Rattus norvegicus: one gene and its partner. The protein of the gene in region 2 interacts with the protein of the main gene of each other region in a pairwise test. Links are inferred from orthologs where the notes say so. Each region holds a gene or a part of one and is shown on either strand. Other genes may lie near its edges.

The links. The genes of interacting proteins can lie anywhere in the genome.
Region 1: the proteins of Prr3 (region 2) and Asf1a interact in binary tests that used the Homo sapiens proteins (3 or more experiments, as listed by UniProt). The two-hybrid records come from large-scale screens. The link is inferred for Rattus norvegicus from reciprocal best matches to the Homo sapiens genes PRR3 and ASF1A.

Annotation. Positions count from the first base shown.
Region 1 is NC_086038.1:33,444,354-33,454,377, forward strand, and holds the end of Asf1a (histone chaperone ASF1A), read left to right. Parts: intron 1-1,510; coding exon 1,511-1,687; intron 1,688-4,900; coding exon 4,901-5,113; 3' UTR 5,114-7,125; downstream 7,126-10,024. Other genes in the region: DNA helicase MCM9, read right to left, coding at 8,626-8,745. UniProt on the Homo sapiens protein: Histone chaperone that facilitates histone deposition and histone exchange and removal during nucleosome assembly and disassembly.
Region 2 is NC_086038.1:2,796,216-2,805,814, forward strand, and holds Prr3 (proline-rich protein 3), read left to right. Parts: upstream 1-1,461; 5' UTR 1,462-1,500; coding exon 1,501-1,600; intron 1,601-1,703; exon of another isoform or gene 1,704-1,938; coding exon of another isoform or gene 1,939-2,009; intron 2,010-2,276; coding exon 2,277-2,339; coding exon of another isoform or gene 2,340-2,450; exon of another isoform or gene 2,451-6,359; coding exon 6,360-6,650; exon of another isoform or gene 6,651-7,209; coding exon 7,210-7,316; 3' UTR 7,317-8,459; downstream 8,460-9,599. Other genes in the region: Gnl1 (guanine nucleotide-binding protein-like 1), read right to left, coding at 1-163, 510-582.

The DNA.
Region 1 (10,024 bases), about 31 Mb from region 2:
GAAAGTAGGTTTAATAAAGATGTCAAGAGATAAATTTGGGTGAACATTGGGGGAAAGAATTTAAAGCCAAGGGGCTGTTTGTGGCACAGAGGAATGAAAGATTTCCAGCTCATCTTAGAGAACTTAAGTTTTACACACGCACACACACGCACGCGCGCGCACACACGCACATTATAAAGCTGTAAAGACCCTAAAGAACTAATGTGTCTAAGGTTTAAAGCCTGCCAGGGGTACAGGAGTGGATAGCTGCGTGTGTAAGTGGCAGCAATGTGAACAGCAGACAGGAACTGAGGAGATGAGTAAGAAATGGGAGTTGGGAGCATTCTGCGTAACAGATGAAGGAATGCCCAGCCTTTAGAAATGAGACGATGAGAGTGACAAGGGAAGCGAAGAGAGAAACTGAAGGTGACTGAAAGTTTTAGTCTCTGGATTTGTATGGCTTCTAGGTCAGCTCTGTGTTACATATACAGTAAACATAGTCTTAAAAATTTCCAAGCTAAAAGCATTACTCAAGTGTTCATATGCACAGGATATGATGCTAGTGTTTCCTTTGTTTACTATGCAGAATGGTGCTTTAGGTTGTACTTGGATCGCTCACACATCACTGTCTGTCTGTCTGTCTGTCTCAGAAGTCTTGCTAATGAGGACTGTGGACACAACCCTAGCCTTTCCTGGCATTTTTAATGTCTTCTAGTTTTGTTGTTTCACTTTCTTAATTCCTTTAGGTTCATTATGATTCAAAACATGATCTTTGGTGTCCTCTACCTAAATAGTCTTTGACTGCATTTAATTTCCACAGTGTTTGTGGCTCAAACACAATATAATTTTCATTTTCTCAAACTTTGCTATAGTTTTTCAGATCCATTGCCCTTTGTACTCACTGTTTGTGTGTATACTTCTTAGTTAGTGGTGCTGGGCTTGAACTGAACCACACCGTGACCTCTGTCTGCTGTCAGTTTTACATGGTTTACTACTGAAGAACCTGAGGGTCTTGGATAGATAGAGGAGGGAACTGATAGAACAAACACTTACTAGAATGGACTCTACGAAACTCAAGTTGGTACATAGTAATTTGGGACTGAAAAATAGGACTGTAAAAGGTTAGGATCACTACAATGATTGATGTGGTTATAAATAATGAATTTTATAATGAATATTATATAATTAATCACCATACAGTAAAGACCAGAAATTATTTTTCTTTAGCTATAATTATGCCTGCAAGTACTGAGTGCACACAGTACTACCACAGAGAAACTTACCCTTATTTTCTAGGTATAAGTGAATCCCACCAAAGAACATTGGCTAGGTGGGTGTGGTGGTGTCCACCTGTATCTCTAGCACTCAGGAGGCAGAAGAGAGTGACTCTAAGGCCAACTAAGGTCTCTAAAGGCCAAGAATAAATCGAAAAGACATCGCACTGACGGTCTCAAGCAGTGCTAGGGTAGCTGTTGCTCACCCGCTAGTCCTGCCGTTCACGGCCTTTGTGTTTCTTTCTGAATTACTCTAGGCTGATGCGCCAAACGCGGGGCTCATCCCAGACGCAGACGCAGTGGGGGTAACAGTTGTACTGATTACCTGCACCTACCGAGGTCAAGAATTTATTAGAGTTGGCTACTATGTAAATAATGAATATACTGAAACAGAATTAAGGGAAAACCCACCAGTAAAACCAGACTTTTCTAAGGTAAGTTTCTTTTCTTCTTTTTCTGGGATATTTTATGTATTTACATTTCAAATGTTATCCCCCCACCCCCTTCTTCTATGAGGATGCTCCTACCCCCTCCCACCTCAATGTTGGCCCTGGCATTCCCCTACATTGGGGGATCCAGCCTTCACAAGACTTAGGGCTTTTCCTCCTATTGATGCTAGACAGTGCCATCCTCTGCTAAATATGCGCCTGGGGTCATGGGTCCCCCCCCCCCCTGTGTACTCATTGGTTGGCGGTTCAGTCCCTGGGAGCTCTGGTGGGGTCTAGTTCCTTGATATTGTTGTTTTTCCTATGGGGCTGCAAAGCCCTTCAGCTCCTTCAGTCCTTTCTCTAACTGCTCCATTGGGGTCTCCCTGATCAGTACAATGGTTATCTGCAAGCATCCTCTTCTGTATCAGTAAGGCTCTAACAGCCTCTCAGGAGACATTCATATCTGGCTCCTGTCAGCAAGCACTTCTTATTTGGTGGCTGTATCTGGGATGCATCCCCGGGTTGTGGCAGTCTCTGGATGATCTTTTCTTCAGTCCCTGCTGCACTCTTTGTTCCTGTATTTCCTCCCATGAGTATTTTGTTTTCCCGTTTAAGAAGGACTGAAGCATCCACATTTTGATCTTCCTTCTTCTTGAGCTTTATGTGATCTATGAATTGTTTCTTGGGTATTCTGAGCTTTTGGGCTCATATCCACTTACCAGTGAGTGCTTACCATGTGTGTTCTTTTGTGACTGGGTTACTTCACTCAGGATCATATTTTCTAGTTCCATCCATTTGCCTAAAAATTTCATGAAGTCATTGTTTTTAATAGCTGAGTAGTACTCCATTGTGTAAATGTACCACATTTTCTGTATCTGGGTTCCTTCTAGCTTCTGGCTATTATAAAACAAGGCTGCTGTGAACACAGTAGAGCATCTTTTGGGTCTATGCCCAGGGGTGGTATAGCTGGGTCCTTAGGTAATACTATGTCCAATTTTCTGAGGAACTGCCAGACTGATTTCCAGAGGGGTTGTCCCAGTCTGCAATGGCATCTTTGTCAGCATCTGCTGTCACCCGAGTTTTTGATCTGAGCCCTTCTGACTGGTGTGAGAGGAGTTTGATTTGCATTTCCCTGATGACTAAGGATGTTGAACATTTCTTTAGGTGCTTCTTTAGGTGATTTCTTTCTTCAGAGGCTTGAAGTTCTTGCCATACAGATCTTTCACTTGCTTGGTGAGATTCACACCAAGGTATTTTATATTATTTGTGGGTATTGTGAGGGGTGTCATTTCTCTAATTTCTTTTTTTTTTTTTTTTTTTTTTTTTTTTTTTTTGGTTCTTTTTTTCGGAGCTGGGGACCGAACCCAGGGCCTTGCGCTTCCTAGGTAAGCGCCCTACCACTGAGCTAAATCCCCAGCCCCTCTAATTTCTTTCTCAGCCTGTTTATCCTTTGAGTAGAGGAAGGCTATTGATTTGTTTGAGTTAATTCTCTATCCAGCCACTTTGCTGAAGTTGTTTATCAATTGTGGGAATTTTTGGGGTCACTGAAGTATACTCTCATATCATCTGCAAATAGTGATAATTTGACTTCTTCCTTTTCAATTTGTATCCCTTTGACCTCTTTTTGTTGTCCTAATTGCTCTGGCTAGGACTTCAAGTACTATATTGAATAGGTGGGATTGCTTCAAGTTTCTCTCCATTTAGTTTGATGTTGGCTACTAGTTTGCTGTACTGGTTTGCTTTTACTATGTTTACGCCTTGAATTCCAAGACGTTTATCATGAAGGGATGTTGAATTTTGACAAATGCTTTCTCAGTATGAGATGATCATGTGGTTTTGCATTTGTTTATATAGTGGATTACACGCTGATGGATTTCCATATATTGAGCCATCCTTACATCCCTAAAATGAAGCCTACTTGATCATGGTGAATGATTGTTTTGATATGTTCTTGGATTTGGTTTTCGAGAATTTTATTGAGTATTTTTGAATCAATATTCATGAGGGAAATTGGTCTGAAGGTGTCTTAGTCGGGGTTTCTATTCCTGCACAAACATGACCAAGAAGCAAGTTGGGGAGGAAAGGGTTTATTCAGCTTACACTTCCACATTGCTGTCCATCACCAAAGGGAGTCAGGACTGGAACTCAAGCAGGTCAGGAAGCAGGAGCTGATGCAGAGGCCATGGAGGGATGTTACTTACTGGCTTGCTTCCCCCGGCTTGCTCAGCTTGCTTTCCTATAGAACCTGAGACCACCCAGCCCAGGGACGGCACCACCCACAATGGGCTGGGTCCTCCCACATTGATCACTAGTTGAGAAAATGCCTTACAGCTGGGTCTCATGAAGGCATTTCCACAACTGAGGCTCTTTTCTCTATGATAACTCCGGCTTGTGTCAAGTTGACACACAAGACCAGCCAATACAGAAGTCCTCTTTCCTTGTTGGGTTTTTGTGTGGTTTAGGTATAAGTGTAATTGTGGCTTCAAAGAATGAATTGGGTAGTGTTCCTTCTGTTTCTATTTTGTGGAATAGTTTGAAGAGTATTAGTATTGGATCTTCTGAAGGTCTGATAGAATTCTGCACTACCTCCATCTAGTCCTGGGCTTTTTTTGGTTGAGAAACTTTTAATGACTGCTTCTACTTCTTTAGGAGTTATAGGACTGTTTAGATGGTTTACTTGATCCTGATTTAACTTTGGTACCTGGTATCTATCTAGAAAATTGTCTATTTCATCCAGATTTTCCAGTTAGTTTTGTTGAGTATAGGTTTTTGTAGTAGGATCTGATCATTTTTTGAATTTCCTTAGTTTCTGTTTTTATGATTCCCTTTTCATTTCTGATTTTGTTAATTTGGATACTATCTCTCTGTGCCCTCTGTTACTCTGGCTAAGGGTTTATCTATCTTGTTGATTTTCATAAAGAATCAGCTCCTGGTTTTGTTATTTGTTTGTTTTGGTATAGTTCTCTTTGTTTCTACTTGGTTGTTTTCAGCCCTGAGTTTGATTATTTCCTCCCCTTACTTCCCTTTTACCTGGTTTGCAAAGGCTGATAGTTCTTTTGCTGTCTGCTATTATGGTCATTGCTTATTATGCTTAAGTGCTTCATTGCTGATCCCTTTGGATATGAATTTAGTCCTCCAAAAAGATGAAAAGAAACACCCAGCTTGCACATGGTAATCTAACTTTCTTAGTACTCACCATTTAAATGTTTCTCTTTCTAGCTTCAAAGGAATATTTTGGCTTCTAATCCCAGAGTCACAAGGTTCCACATTAACTGGGAAGATAACACAGAGAAACTGGAAGACGCAGAGAGCAGTGACCCCAATCTGCAGTCCCTTCTTTCCACAGATGCACTGCCTTCAGCATCAAAGGGATGGGCGACGTCAGAAAACTCACTCAGTGTCATGTTAGAATCCCACATGGACTGCATGTGACACGTGCCATGCCATTAGTACAGATTAAGCTATTAAAACAGAACTATCTCCCTGAAGTTCCGTAAGTACATAGTCAACGTGAAATGTGAAGAATTTGTTTAAAAACATCCTGTAGAAAGTTTATAAGAAAACCAGTATTTGAGCAAATTGTGGAATATAAATACAACTATTTTTAAGGACTTTTTTTCTCTAATGTGTTATTTTATTTGTTCATGAAACTAATCTGATTAAAGCATATATATTATTTTCTTCTCTTTTATATGTAATTAAAGCACTTATAAAAAGAAAAGTTATCAATTCTTAGACTGGGTTGTAAAGGTGTTTTAGCCTCTTGGACAATAAGATTTATCAGCTTTTAAAAGGACAAAGTTTACTTCAACTAAAATGATTTTTCCTGTGAAGATAGTATCCTTATAATTTGACAAGAAAATTTCCATTCTGTAGTAAAAAAGATAGATTTAAAATGGGATTTGAAATCAATCACATGCCACCAGGGTTTTTCTAGGCCATCCCAGTGCATCTTACTACAGTTCACATTAAACTGGACTTCTAGTTTTTATATAACAAATGCGGCTGCCTTTGAAGTCCTTCTGACTATCGTGTATGCTTTCCTACATCTAAAACTGAGAAACTATGATCCTAAGCCATCACTGTCTAGAGAGTCCAACACATAAGAGCAAACATAAGGTCTCTGAAGTGTAAGACTCCATTATGATGGCTCAGATCTGCTCACTCTTTCTGCTTACAGGAATGCTGAACGTGCGTTGCTGGCACCATTACTATTGAAGGGTGATTTAGGAAGGTCTAGTCAGCTTCATCCTGGCTAGCGACTCTAGAGAGTATGTCTTACCTTTTGCAGCCACACTACCCCATATCCTTTGGTTCTCATAATGTGTAAGATCAGGGCATTATCTGTAGTTAACATAACAGCTTAACCACTTTTTTTTTTCTCAGAAGAATAGTTTTAGAAAGGAATTCACCAAATAAATGGGCCAAAAGCTTATTTTCTTTAATGAGAAGTAAATCCTCAAAGTTTTGATCCATTAAATTGACAGTACAATATTCTCAGTTGTTATCAGTGATGATGCCCAGGATAGCCATAGGTTCAAGTTATGCAGTGCCTTCACATCTAAGCTTTTATACTGCACTTTCAAAAGCATTTTGAGGAAAAGGAAGGGGTATTTATTTAAATACAGACTCTATAAGTTGTAATATATTTCTTGCTTTTTTTAAAAGATAAATTTGTGAAACAAAGTCTTGTTAAATGTTAAACTTTGAAATTTAAGACTCCATATTACCCAGTTCATAGATTTTAAAAATAAATATTTCTGGCTACTAAAATGATTTGAAAAAAAAATCTCATTTTGTCTAACTACAATTAGGAGAAAATGTTTAAGACAGTTCAGTGATCAGTACAGTAAGAATAAGTTTGTCAGAAATAAAGATAATTAAATCACCAAGTAAAGCAACTCAGTGCAGTCTTAGATTATAGAACCACTTTGTGATGACATGCTTAGGTCTTTATACCAAACTTTAAATATATGGCCCATAGTCACAAAAGTCGGAGAAATAAAATACTGCCTTTTATTATTTAAATGCAATAGCATTTAAATTTAAAAGTGAAAGAAGAATAGAAACATTTACACATTAAGAACTAAGAAACTAGCATGCAGGGATTTTCCTCCTGATTAGCCTCATTTAAAAAGACATTATGTCTGAATTACAGTTAAAAGGCTTATAGACTCCGCTCCACCCCACTTCTTTTGAGATATGGTCTCTCAACATAGCCCTGGCTGTCCTGAACTTTCCTTAGACCAGTGTAGCCTTCAGCTCACAGACATCCACCTGCTTCTGCCTCCTGAGAGCTGGGATTAAAGGCATTCGACTCCACACCCTGCACCACTTCCTTGTTTCTATCAGTATAAATAAATGTCTGGTGAATACGTACACATACAACACACACATATGCACACACACAGTCCACACCGCTGAAGAGCTAGGGGAGTAGGTTATGATGGTATGGAGTTGAAACATTTCAGAAGTCTGAGGAGGCACACATGCATTTGCTCATTCACAACCCTTTCTGACCCTTCATTTCTGTTCAGTCCATGGGGGCTGTCAACGTGGCCCAGTCGGTAAGGTGCTTGCTGCCAAGCCTGGCTACTTCAGTTCAGTACCCAGGATTCACATGATAGAAACATTCTCCCACAGGTTGTCACCTAACTTCCATATATGCTCACACAAACTAAGTAAATTAAGGGTAATGCAAAATTTTAAGACTATGACATGTTTCCTATCGCAGTCCATAGTATAAAATGCCATATGACCATGCAATGCAAGTATACATTTATATTAGGTTTTTCAAGAAAGTAGCCCTTCGCTGCCCCTACTGTGTGCAGCCTGACTCTTGATGGATTACAGGAGTGCCAAAGCCCACTGACATCTTTGAGTGGGTAAAAAGTAGCAATTAAGTTCCTACAATTACAAAACCTTTACCAACCTTTTTTCTCACCTTTGGATTATGATCTTGACATATGAAATGAGGGAGGAGAGTGCTAATTCACTTTCTATTTATATTATCACTAACACTTGAGAACTTCTTTATTAATAGTGGCCTGTTAGATGGCATAGGCTAGTGCTTGGCATTCCACATGATTGGTTGGCAGTCATTTCATGGAATCATACAATGTCACTCAGCCACAAGGATTTCAAAGTATATAGGGGTGGCTCTTTATTGGCCTTCTCTTTTGGTGTTGTCAACTCACAGAGCCCATCTGACCAACACTTATTAATACAGCATTTACAGTCCCCAGATAGGACTGCTGGGATATTTTTCTTTTGTGATGGGTTTCAGAGTATATTAGATAAGAACTTGGAGAGGAGACTACAGAAGCAAGGTTATCTTAACATGTAATAACACTGGTAAACTATGGGAAACCAAACTCCTATTGTAGAACAGGAGAAATAAAACTAAAAGTAGAAAACATCAAGACACATTTTAAAAAAACAATTTTCCCTAAATTTCATATCACTTTATAACCAGGACAGTCTTGTGTGTAAGAGCTTTTAAATGTACTTGCTGTAGAATTATTAAAATGTATGAAGAAAATTTCTTAGTACATACGTGAAAATATGCTTTCTAAATGCACAAATGTCCCTAAGAGGTATCATTAGGAGTCACTGTTGTCCATGAAAATGCCTTAAACTATATGCTGTCTACCTACTTTGTAAATGAAATCTCCCTGTTTTGATGTTTGTTTGGTAGATCTTTATAAAACGACATCTTTACATTTTCCTATATAAAACTAAGTTCCATACCGAGGACATAAACCTTTTTGAAATATCTTTTTAATTGTACAAAAAGGATGTTACATTTCCTTCCATTTTTGGCAGTAACTTTGAAAAACCTAAACTTACTTGAAATGTATCCTATGAAGGCTACATTTCATAAGGAAATAATTGTGTTCATTTCTATATTAATTTTAAATTATGTAAAAATTGTCATACAGTACCTGCACTAGTAGATCCAATTCCTGTGGTCAAAACAGACCTCGGTGTAATCTTTGCTGCATATTTAAGGAATTGCGATTTCCCTGTGCCAGGATCCCCAACCAATAAAAGGTGAGATTCGCCTAGGAAAAGTAAATGTAAAAGTTCAAAAATTTTAAAAGGACCTATGAATAACATACAACTAATAAAGTATCCCATATGAAATGGCCAATACATTTTATGTGTTATTTTTTGATATATTTTATGCAAGGTTCTTCAAGGAAGGAGTTAAATAGAGACTCTTTAGAAAAGTTATCTGTCACAAATATAGCAATTTTGATTACTGAGTGGATATTTAAAATTTAAAACCTTTTAATAGAGTATATGCTATTTCCAGATGCTTAGACCCATGCGTAACATTTTAAAAATCCTTGACTTACAAAAACTTTCTGGTGTATCTATTTTTAAATCTAAGCTACAGTGATTAAAGCTATCCATACAAGTCATATAAGGTTTTATTCTATTTTTAAAGTACTTCTAAATTTTGGGGGTTTTATAAGTGGTTTATACATATCAAACCATTTTGATTATATTAACTGAATAAAAACATTTTCATTTATGTACGTTTCATTAGCTTAGTGGGATATCTACCTTAAAATGACTCATTTCACACTTAATAGAAATGGACACATGCTCGTCCTATGACAGATATTTTCACTGGACAAAAAATTTCTTTAGTAATAAGTATTTCCTGAGTACATTAATAAACCATTATTTAAGATCAACATTTAGCCAAGTGCCTTGCATATAGCAGATGATCACAATACAGTTTATAAAATGCTTCTGTCCTATGTGGTCTTAGTGTTGGACTAATAGCCTGGCTTAGAGTATCATTTTAGTCTGTGGGGTAACTGGTTAACAGCTCTCTCTCTTGCTTTCTCTCTCGGTCTCTCTCTCTCTCTGTCTCTCTCTGCCTCTCTCTCGGTCTCTCTCTGTCTCACTCTCTGTCTCGGTCTCTCTCTCGGTCTCTGTCTCGGTCTCTCTCTCGGTCTCTGTCTCGGTCTCTCTCTCTCTCTCTCGCTCGCTCGCTCGCTGCACTGGAGTCTGCTGCCACCCAGACATGTTGCACACTTGGAGCAGTCTTTGCTTCAAGTATGACCTACAGCAGCAATCCTGGCAGATGGCGTATCTGCTGTCTACCAGCGGGAGAATCAGCAGGCACAGGGCTCTGAGTAGCACTTGACAGTCACAGATGGAAACCAGCTTGGAGACATTAAGACACACACTCTCATCCCCTCCCTCCAAGGGAGCTCATTGTGGCACCTTTACAGTACATAACCACGGAAGAACTTATCTCTGGTAAATCTGGATATAGACTAAAACTGAAAAATCCATTTAGAAACTACATTAGAAAATAGCTCT
Region 2 (9,599 bases):
TTGGGGTCGTAGCCTCTGGGCCCCAGGCCCTGAGAAGGTTGCTGGTTGAGCCTGCGGATGTGATGGGTCACGGATTCCCCATCCGACGTGTCGGTCTGCTCCTCCCGCCGCTCCCGGCTCCCGCTGCGGCTGTTGGAACTGGAGCGAAGCCCATCTTGGAGCCCTGAGGGGAGGGGCCGGTGACGCCGGTGTAGACCGGTTCTTAGGGTACCTAAAGCCCCCCGAGCTGGTAGGACAAGCTCTTCTTCAGTCGCCCCAACTTCTGCAGAGGCTCCAACCACGCGCCCCAATCCCCTCCCCGATGGGCCTGGAGGTCGTCATAGCGCCCTGTAGCAGCAGCAGGATTTCCCATCCCCCACCCTCCTCCACCACCGCCTCGTCCCGCCTCTGCGGGAAACCCCCACCGTGGCAGCCCACGCGGGACCGCGAGAGCCCACTCACCCCCCGCCCGAGGTGCGGCGGCACAGCCCTCCTCCAGAGCTGCGCAGCGGCCCCGCCCCCTCCCTGACCTCGCTTCCGCTCCCGCTTGTCCTGCAGCTGCTTCTTCTTCTGCTTCACGCTGAAGGGCTTCTTCCTCGGCATGGCCCCGGAGCCCCGGTCCGCCCTCCGCCGAGCTCCCCGCCGCCGCAACTGACTCCCCCGGGCAGCCCCCGCCCGCGGCCCGGGGCCCTGGGGAGGCGGGGCCGCGGTGACGTCAGCGGCGGGCGGCGGGGAGCAGGGCGGCAGGGATGCAAGCGGCACGTGAGAGCCCGCGGCTTCGGGGTGCACGGTGCGGCGAGCTGGAGGCACGCGTGGGTGGCCCCGGCCGACTCCGTCACCGGCGCTACCAAGTGGCAGCCGCGGGAGGGGGGACGTGTGTCACTGCCGCCCGCCGCTCCCGCGAGCTGCCACTCACCTGGCGGGGGCCGGGCGTGGGGGCGAGGACACGCCCCACCGCGCCGCAGCCAGGGTGGGGAATGGCCCCCGGCCGGGGAACCGAGGCTGCGCGACTGCGCTGGCAGCTCCGTGGGCTGACCTGAGGCGACCGGACACAGTAAGAACGCCGAAGAGGCAGACTTACAGGCCACACGTGCGAGCGTGGGAGAGGAGAAAAAAAGCCAGCGGGACAAGGACTTTTGGAGAGAGGTCGGAGAGCACGCAGTTGTGGCTGTAGGTGTTGCCATAGTAACCGGGGGACCGGATGTGGCGATCTTAAGGTGCGACAGGCTTCACGCGTGCCGGGCAGAGGTCCGAAGCCTGTCCAGTGTCTCACTGCAGTGCGGTGGTGCTTTTCCACGTGGGGAGGAATTGCACAAGGGGAGCAGAGCTTTCCCTACGCGCGGCAGGGTGAGCGAGGCACCTTGCAGGAGCGAATCGCCAAAGCACATCCCCGACCTCCCGGAAGTGGCATGGCGGGAGCCTCGGTCACCGGGCCCACCGCTCACCCGGAAGCGGAAGGAAAGCTAGTGTGCCCCCTCCTCACTGCCCTCAAATCCTGCTGCAGCCATTGCCGCAGCCGCTATGCCGAAACGAAAGAAGCAGAACCAGCCGCAGCCGCCGCAGCATCTCGCACTGTCCGAGCGGGACGAGCCTGGAGACGAGGAGGACGAGCGCCCCATGGGTGAGGGGCAGGGCGTGCACACGCCTGTCAGCGGGCCGGGGGCTAGGCGAGAATGAAGTGCGGGGGAGGAGGCTCCAACGGAAGGAGGAAGAACGCACGCGTGGAGGTGGGGTGGGAGGGGAGGGCTCCTGGTAGAACCTGGATTGAGGACTTAGCTTGCTTGAACCCTCAACCTCAGTCTGGCTCCTAATCCTTTCTGGAGAAGGCAGGGGAGGTGGCGGCTAAACCTCTGGCTTGCGCAACCGCAGAATGGCGGGGGAGAGGGGCGGCAGCGATATTACAGATTGTGATGACCGGGAAGACAATTTGTGACCACACTTCCACTGGTTAGGTCAAAGTGCAGCCTTCTGTGAACTACTCCCCCGAGGGAAGGAGAGGAGAAAAAAACTATGATGGGCCAACAGTTAAGGTGAGGGATTGGGGTATGTGGAATCACTGGGCATGTTGTGGATGCAGCACTGTGAGGAAAGAGCTGTTAGAGACCTCTGTTACCCTCTGATGGAATCTCAAACAACTCTGCAGAGGGAAGGGCAGATGGACGGGGTGAGAGCTTGCGGCACTGCTGAATGGATTTATGACTTTACTGGGTAAAAACTGAGTGTTAAAGACCAAGTAAGGACGAGGCGATCAGTCCTTTGCACCGTTCTGACGACTGTGTTTTCATGTCTGCTCTTAGGACCACCCAGCCTTCTGGGCCCTCCCCCCATGGCTAACGGAAAGCCTGGTGATCCCAAGTCAGGTGAGGAGAAATTGGGCCGTGATTCGTGTTTTAAGCCCTGGAGAAGAGACGGAGGAAAATCAAAGACTTAAAAATCCAGGGATTGGGGTTGGGGATTTAGCTCAGTGGTAGAGTGCTTGCCTAGGAAGCGCAAGGCCCTGGGTTCGGTCCCCAGCTCCGAAAAAAAGAAAAAGGAAAGAAAAAAAAAAAATCCAGGGATTGTGTACCTAAGTGAGGAATCATATGTTAACCGTTTGGAAACAGTGTTGTCAAAATGTTACTTTCTTCCAGATTAACTCCTAGGTCTATCTCTAGTTTGTGTGTTTAGAAATAAACGATCAGGGTTGGGGATTAGCTCAGTGTAGGGCGCTTGCTAAGGCCCTGGGTTCGGTCCTCAACTCTGAAAAATAAAATAAACGATCTCTGTTTTAGAGGCTCTAAATGGAATACTACCAAGACCAAAACAAGAGGGCATAGCAAGATTTGGTAAAAAGCTGCAGTAGCTATGACATGGTGGTCTTCACAGAATATCAACATAAAGTTTTTTGGTTTTTTTTTTTGGGGGGGGGGGTTGGTTTTTTTTGTTTTTGTTTTTTTTGGTTCTTTTTTTTCCGGAGCTGGGGACCGAACCCAGGGCCTTGCGCTTGCTAGGCAAGCGCTCTACCACTGAGCTAAATCCCCAACCAAACATAAAGTTTTTAATACTTGAGAGACTGGTGGAAGATCAGGAGTTCCTGGCCAGCCTCACCTACATAGCAAATTTGAGACCAGCTAGCCTGGGCTACATGAGACCCTGTCTGAGAGGAATCAGAGGCCTCTAGACACATGAACATGGAATTCTGTGTAAAGGTGAAATCAAAGAAGTGGTTCTGAGTAAGCAGTGTTGTCTCAACTGGACATCCTTTGTGTAGAAGTAGGAACTTCATTAGAAATACTGATTTTGGGCTGGAGAGATGGCTCAGCGGTTAAGAGCACTGACTGCTCTTCCAGAGGTCCTGAGTTCAAATCCCAGCAACCACATGGTGGCTCACAACCATCTGTAATGAAATCTGATGACCTCTTCTGGTGTGTCTGAAGACAGCTACAGTGTACTTATATACAATAAATAAATAAACCTTTAAAAAAAAAAAAATACTGATTTTGGGGGTTGGGGATTTAGCTCAGTGGTTAGAGCGCTTGCCTAGGAAGCGCAAGGCCCTGGGTTCGGTCCCCAGCTCCGAAAAAGAACCAAAAAAAAAAACAAAAAAAAAAAAAAACTGATTTTTGTCATGGTAGTCATACCAGACAAACATGGGTTCTAAGCAGACTGTAAACATTCTTACAAAAAATAACGAGTCTCACAGCCTTAGACAGCATGGCACAGCCTAGCCATAGGGGCAGCAGGAAAGGTAAGAGTTCAGTGTTAGCCTGGCCTGTCTATGTAAGACACCCGTCTGTACTAGTAAAACTGGGAGGGGGGTGTGGTACTGGGGAGGTGGTCCAGTTGATTACTTACTTCAAAAGCATGTAAAAAACAGCTGGGCCCAACACCATGATAAGGCAGAGGTAGACAGACTAGGGCTTGCTGGCTAGTAAGTATGGCTGACTAAGAACATTCCAGGTCCAGTGAGACCCTGTCAGCCTCTGGCCTCTGTGGATACACACATGTATATTAGTTGTAAAGGCAGTATTTATAAGCGAATTACATCAAATATCTCCCTCTCCCTCTCCTCCCCCTCTCCCTCTCCTCTCGCCTCTCTCTCTGCCTCTACTACTCTCTTGACTCCCCTCCCCATGTCCTGAATAAACTCTATTCTATACTAAAAGAAAATTAAGACCAAGCACAGTAGCCTATGTCCACAATTTTGGAGGGTGAGGCAGGAGAATTATGGTATCATGAGGCTACATAGAGACCTATTTAAGAAAGCAAATAAGTCCAGCTCCACTTCTGGGTTTATAGTTACAAGAAATGAAAGCATAGTCTTTGGAGATTTGAGTTTTTGTTCGACTTTGTTGGGTTTTGGTTAATTTATTTATTTATTAGCAACAGGGCCTCGTTGTGTAGCCTTGGCTGTTGGGAACTCACGATACAGACCAGACCAGACTGGCATGCAGAGAGAATCTGCCTGCCTCTGCTTTCCAACTTCTTGGATTAGGCAACACCAGGCTTGTCTTTTTGGATTTGTTATGTAGCCCAGGGTGCCATCAATCTAACAAAATATATGCACTCAGTGGAATATTGTTTTGTCTTAAAAGGAAGAAAATGGCATTAGTGCCGCATCATGGGTGGGCCTGAGCACACTGTATTAAGAAAATGGGCACATGAGGGTAAACACATGAGCTGTCGGGAGTCAGACTCACAGAACAATCAGGGTGTGAGTTACTAGGGCTGTTAGAGATGTAAAGAAAGGGGTGGTTAGAGGTTTCTGTTTGGTCTCTGGTTTACAGTACAGGGCCCTGGGATTCTGTTTCCCAACAGTTACTTACAGTATTGAATCTTACACTTAATAGTTGAGGTGAGTCAGGCTGACAAGATGGCTCTACAGGTAAAAGTGCCTGCCCCCAAGCCTGACAACCTGACTTTAATCCTTGGCCCCAAGTAGTACAGGATCCAAACTCAACGACTTGTCTCTCTGTCACACATGCAGCACGATACCTGTACACACATCCCTAACACCCACATATGAGATCTAAAGTTTTAGAAATCTATTTCTTCAGGCTAAATATAAGTGGATTGCTGTTAGAGAGGACCCGAGGTTCATTTTCAGCGGCCCACGGTCTAGTGGAAGTAGGCAGCAGACAGGGCTAGTTCCAACACCCTTTTTTGGTCTGCAAGGACACCACACGCATGTGATATGTGAGCATACATATTCTTGTTTCTCACATACAACAAATGAACCGAATGAGAAAGGCTGACCCTTGGAATGCTTGGAAGCTGTAGCGCCCGCCACCTCTGAGGGGGCTGTATAAGTTGATACACCACTAAGATTAAAATTAAATTAAAAGTTAAGATTAAAATTGATTACACTGTTCTTACTGAGCAATTCCTCTGCCACATGTAGTCTGAACAGAAACTTATACTACACATAGAAATGTTCGTAGCGGGGCTGGGGATTTAGCTCAGTGGTAGAGCGCTTACCTAGGAAGCGCAAGGCCCTGGGTTCGGTCCCCAGCTGTGAAAAAAAGAAGCAAAAAAAAAAAAAAGAAATGTTCGTAGCATTGTTTATTGTGGCCACACACTTAATACCCACATGTCCATCCTCAGTAGAGCACATAAGTCCGTGTAATAGGATGCTATACTTTTTTTTTTTTTAAAGATTTATTCATTTATTATATATAAGTACACTGTAGCTGTCTTCAGATACACCAGAAGAGGGCATCAGATCTCTTTACAGATGGTTGTGAGCCACCATGTGGTTGCTGGGAATTGAACTCAGGACCTCTGGAAGAATAGTTGGGTGCTCTTAACCGCTGAGCCATCTCTCCAGCCTGGATACTATACTTTTAAATTTAAAAAATCATCTACTACTGGCCCAGACAAGTTGACTCTCATGATTATCAGAAGAGCCCAGAGTTAGAGCCAGGAAGATCCACAACCTGTCATGTTAGAAGTCAGGATGGTGGCAACTTTCCAGGAGAGGAAAGGCCATATAGAAGGATGGCTTTTCTGAGGCTGGAGATTTAGCTCAGTAATAAAGAGTAGTCAGTTGCCTAGTATATACAAGGTCCTAGGTTCAGTTCCCCACACCAGGGGCTAAAAAGCGCCAAGAAAGCGTATCTCTGTGTATGGGCAATAGAAACCCAGGGGAAGAGGTAGTAGTTGGTTTGCGTACTTAAAAGCGGTGTGTCAGGGGCTGGGGATTTAGCTCAGTGGTAGAGCGCTTACCTAGGAAGCACAAGGCCCTGGGTTCGGTCCCCAGCTCCGAAAAAAAGAACCAAAAAAAAAAAAAAAAAAAGCGGTGTGTCAGAGAGCTTTGCTGTATGTAGTGAGCAGGGGAGGGGCTTTTGTCAGGACTGAGGGGCTTCTGCCCAGCAATCACCTCCCTGTCTTTCTCTCTGTAGTTTTCCACAGGGGTCCTCCAGGATCAAGGGGACCAATGATTCCACCACTGCTGAGTCTCCCACCTCCTCCCCGGGGTAGAGGCCACATTCGGGGAGGCCTTGGTCCTCGGTCTAGCCCATACGGTCGTGGTTGGTGGGGTGTCAATACTGAACCTCCTTTTCCTGGGCCAGGCCATGGGGGTCCTTCTAGGGAAATCTTTTACCAAGAGCCAAGAAATCCAAGAAGGCTCAAAAGCTGGTCTCTTGTCAAGAACACCTACCCACCTAAGGACAGCCCCCCGATGATGGAAGGTAAGGCCCACTTTGTTATGTTTGTGCCGTGGCCTGTATACCAGCAGGCCTGGGAATCTTCTCCTTTAGGCTCTCACTGAGCAGCACTGAGAATTAATGCAGGGCCTTACCTGTATTGAGGAGTCCTCTAGCGCTGAACTACCAGCTTCTTAGCTGCCTCAAGAGGTACCAATAGCCCTGAACACTTTTCTTCCCTCAGAAAGACTGTCTTTCCAAAATACTTGGTGATCTGGGAGTCTTGCTCAGTGATTGAACAAGGTGTGCATCATGCCTGAGGCCCTGTGTTCTATCCCTAGCACCAAAAGTAGAAAGAAAAAGCCAAAATACTTGTAAACAGTATATGGTAGAAACCTTGGCTTTCTCTCTGCATTCTATACATTTTCTTTCTTAGGATTTTTAGGGCATCAAGTTGGAAGAGTTGTGTTTTATTAGGGGTGGGTGGACAAGTTGACCTCAAACTTGTGTCTTCTGTCTCGGCCTCTGAAGGCTGGGGCCATGGTGTGAGCCTCCTCACCCAGCTCTCAAAAGGTTTTAAGCTGCTGTTTTCCCTTATTCACAGACAAATCTGACCGCCCTGTCTGCCGACACTTTTCTAAGAAGGGCCACTGTCGATATGAAGACCATTGTGCCTTCTACCATCCAGGCGTCAACGGACCTCCTCTGTAAGACTGTGCCTTCCCACCCAGGCTGGAAGGAGCCCTCTGACCTAGTGGCCATGCATTCTCTGTGGCTCCATTATAGCTACTTGAAGGCTCTTCTGTCACCTTCAGGCAGTGGCACGTCCACCCCTTTCATCATCTCTCCCATTTGGGGTCCAGAGCTGTGACTGTCACTGGTGCACAGTACACACTGTCCTCTGATCCAGGCTGTAGAGACCTTCAGGACCCCATCTTGCTACCTTCCACTGCCTCCTGGATCTTCCCCTCTGCCAAATGACTGCTCCACAGGAAACCTTTGGTGCTGTTTCTTGTGCATTTGTCCACCTCTCCCTCAGTATTGCCCTCAGTTCCCAAGAACCCTGGAGCAGTCTCTTATCCTCTAGCTGCTTGTTTTAAGTCCTTTCACGTAAAACCCCAGTGTTTGCAGCTGCCAGGAAGTGCACTAGGTTTTCCGGCTTGAGGTTGAGTTTGAGTGACTGGTACAGACTTGCTCCCTAAACAGCCTCCACCTGCTTTTGGACGTCCTAGTTTCTGTCCGTAGCATGAGCCCCACCGCTAAGGCCTGTGGTCACTGTGCTTTGTGAAACTGTACGCCCCTTGTAGCCTTCCTCGGTGTCTGTGGCGTTTTTTGTGACTTCCCAACACTAGAGTAAGTTTTTCTGCCAAATCAAGTGAGGCTCTTGGTGCCCTCTAGAGTTCACCTACCTCCCAAAACGGGAGGATGTGAGACATCTTCAGACTGCCTCCCCGTCGTGCCCTCCTGTTCTGTGCCCTCTGGTATTCTGGGTCTGACACAGGCCAGTGATGTCTTGGAAAGCTTCCGACGGGCCTCCCAACACAGCTCCTGCCTGACCCGTTTTAGTTAGGCTGTCATTGTGAGGCCACCAGCCCTTTGATTTGACTTTGTGAATCTCCGCCTGTCTCTGGATGGAACCTGAACAGTACTGTCTGTCACCTCTCTGACCCTCTTACTTCCCTCACACTGGGTGTTTTCTGTGAAAACAGCAGTGAACATGTTGGGTTTTGAACAGGCCCTAAGGAAGTGGGTCAGGAGGTATGTGTGCAAGAGGAGAGAGAGCGCTAGAACTAAGAATGATTTTGTTTTCTTTTTAATTTTTTTTATATTAGTAATAAACACAGTGGAAACCGGTGTCTTCTCTCATTTCTCTGTTCCAGTCTTCTCTGCAGGTGCAGGGAAGCCTTCTCTGAGGCTTCTAGGGAGTCCATTCATTCCCTTAGTTCATCAGAAGCAAAGGTACACTCCGGAAGTGTTGCTGTGCGGAGAGCAGATCAGTGACACAGAGCTGAGGTCTGAAGGATGCACAGGAGGAGCAGTGAGGGGAGGAGTCTTGGCAGTGCCTGGCAACAGTGCCTGGAGCTGAGGTTTTTTGTATTTTTGTTTTCTGTCTGAACACAGAATCTGAAGAGTGGCTCACTTACCACTTATTTTGTGATATTTTTCCCTTGTAAATCAAAACGTGTAATTCACATGAACGCTGTAGGTGATATCTTTGTAATGACTTTGTCTCACTGTCAAAAGGTTGACCATGGGGCTGGGGATTTAGCTCAGTGGTAGAGCGCTTACCTAGGAAGTGCAAGGCCCTGGGTTCGGTCCCCAGCTCCGAAAAAAAGAACCAAAAAAAAAAAAAAAAAAAAAAAGGTTGACCATGGGGGACAGACTTAGAAATGGAGATTTCTAAAATACTTTTTTAGATTTATTTACTACTTTATGTTTGTAAATATTTTGCCTCCCTGTTTGTATGTGTAGAATGTGTGCCTGTTACCCATGGAGGTCAGAAGAATACATCAGAATCCCTGGGATTAGGGATACAGGTTGTTGTGAGCCACTGTGTGGGTGCTGGGAATTGAACCTGCGTTCTCTGTAAGAGTGACTTGTGCTCTTCTTACACACTGAGCCATGTCTCCAGCCCCAGAAACGGAGATTTTCTAAGACGACCCAGATAAGCTTCAACAGTAGCATAGGCTTGAGTATTGAAGTTGGAGAAAAGCGAATGTTTAGAAACAGTCAAAATGAAAGCATTTGGGGCCAGAGGGCTCTACTGTTAAAAAGTCATTTGCTCTGGAAGAGAACCTAAGTTTTGTACCCAGGACCCACAGCCACTTAGAGCAGCCTGTAACTCCAGTTCTTGGGGATTTGGAGCTCTCTTCTGTCCACTTGGGGCACCAGTCACATACCATTGCATATAAGCAAGCAAATGCGTAAAATTCATTTCATTTTAAAGACTCAAAAGATTGAGCTTGGAGGTACATCAACATCAGGACCCCAAGG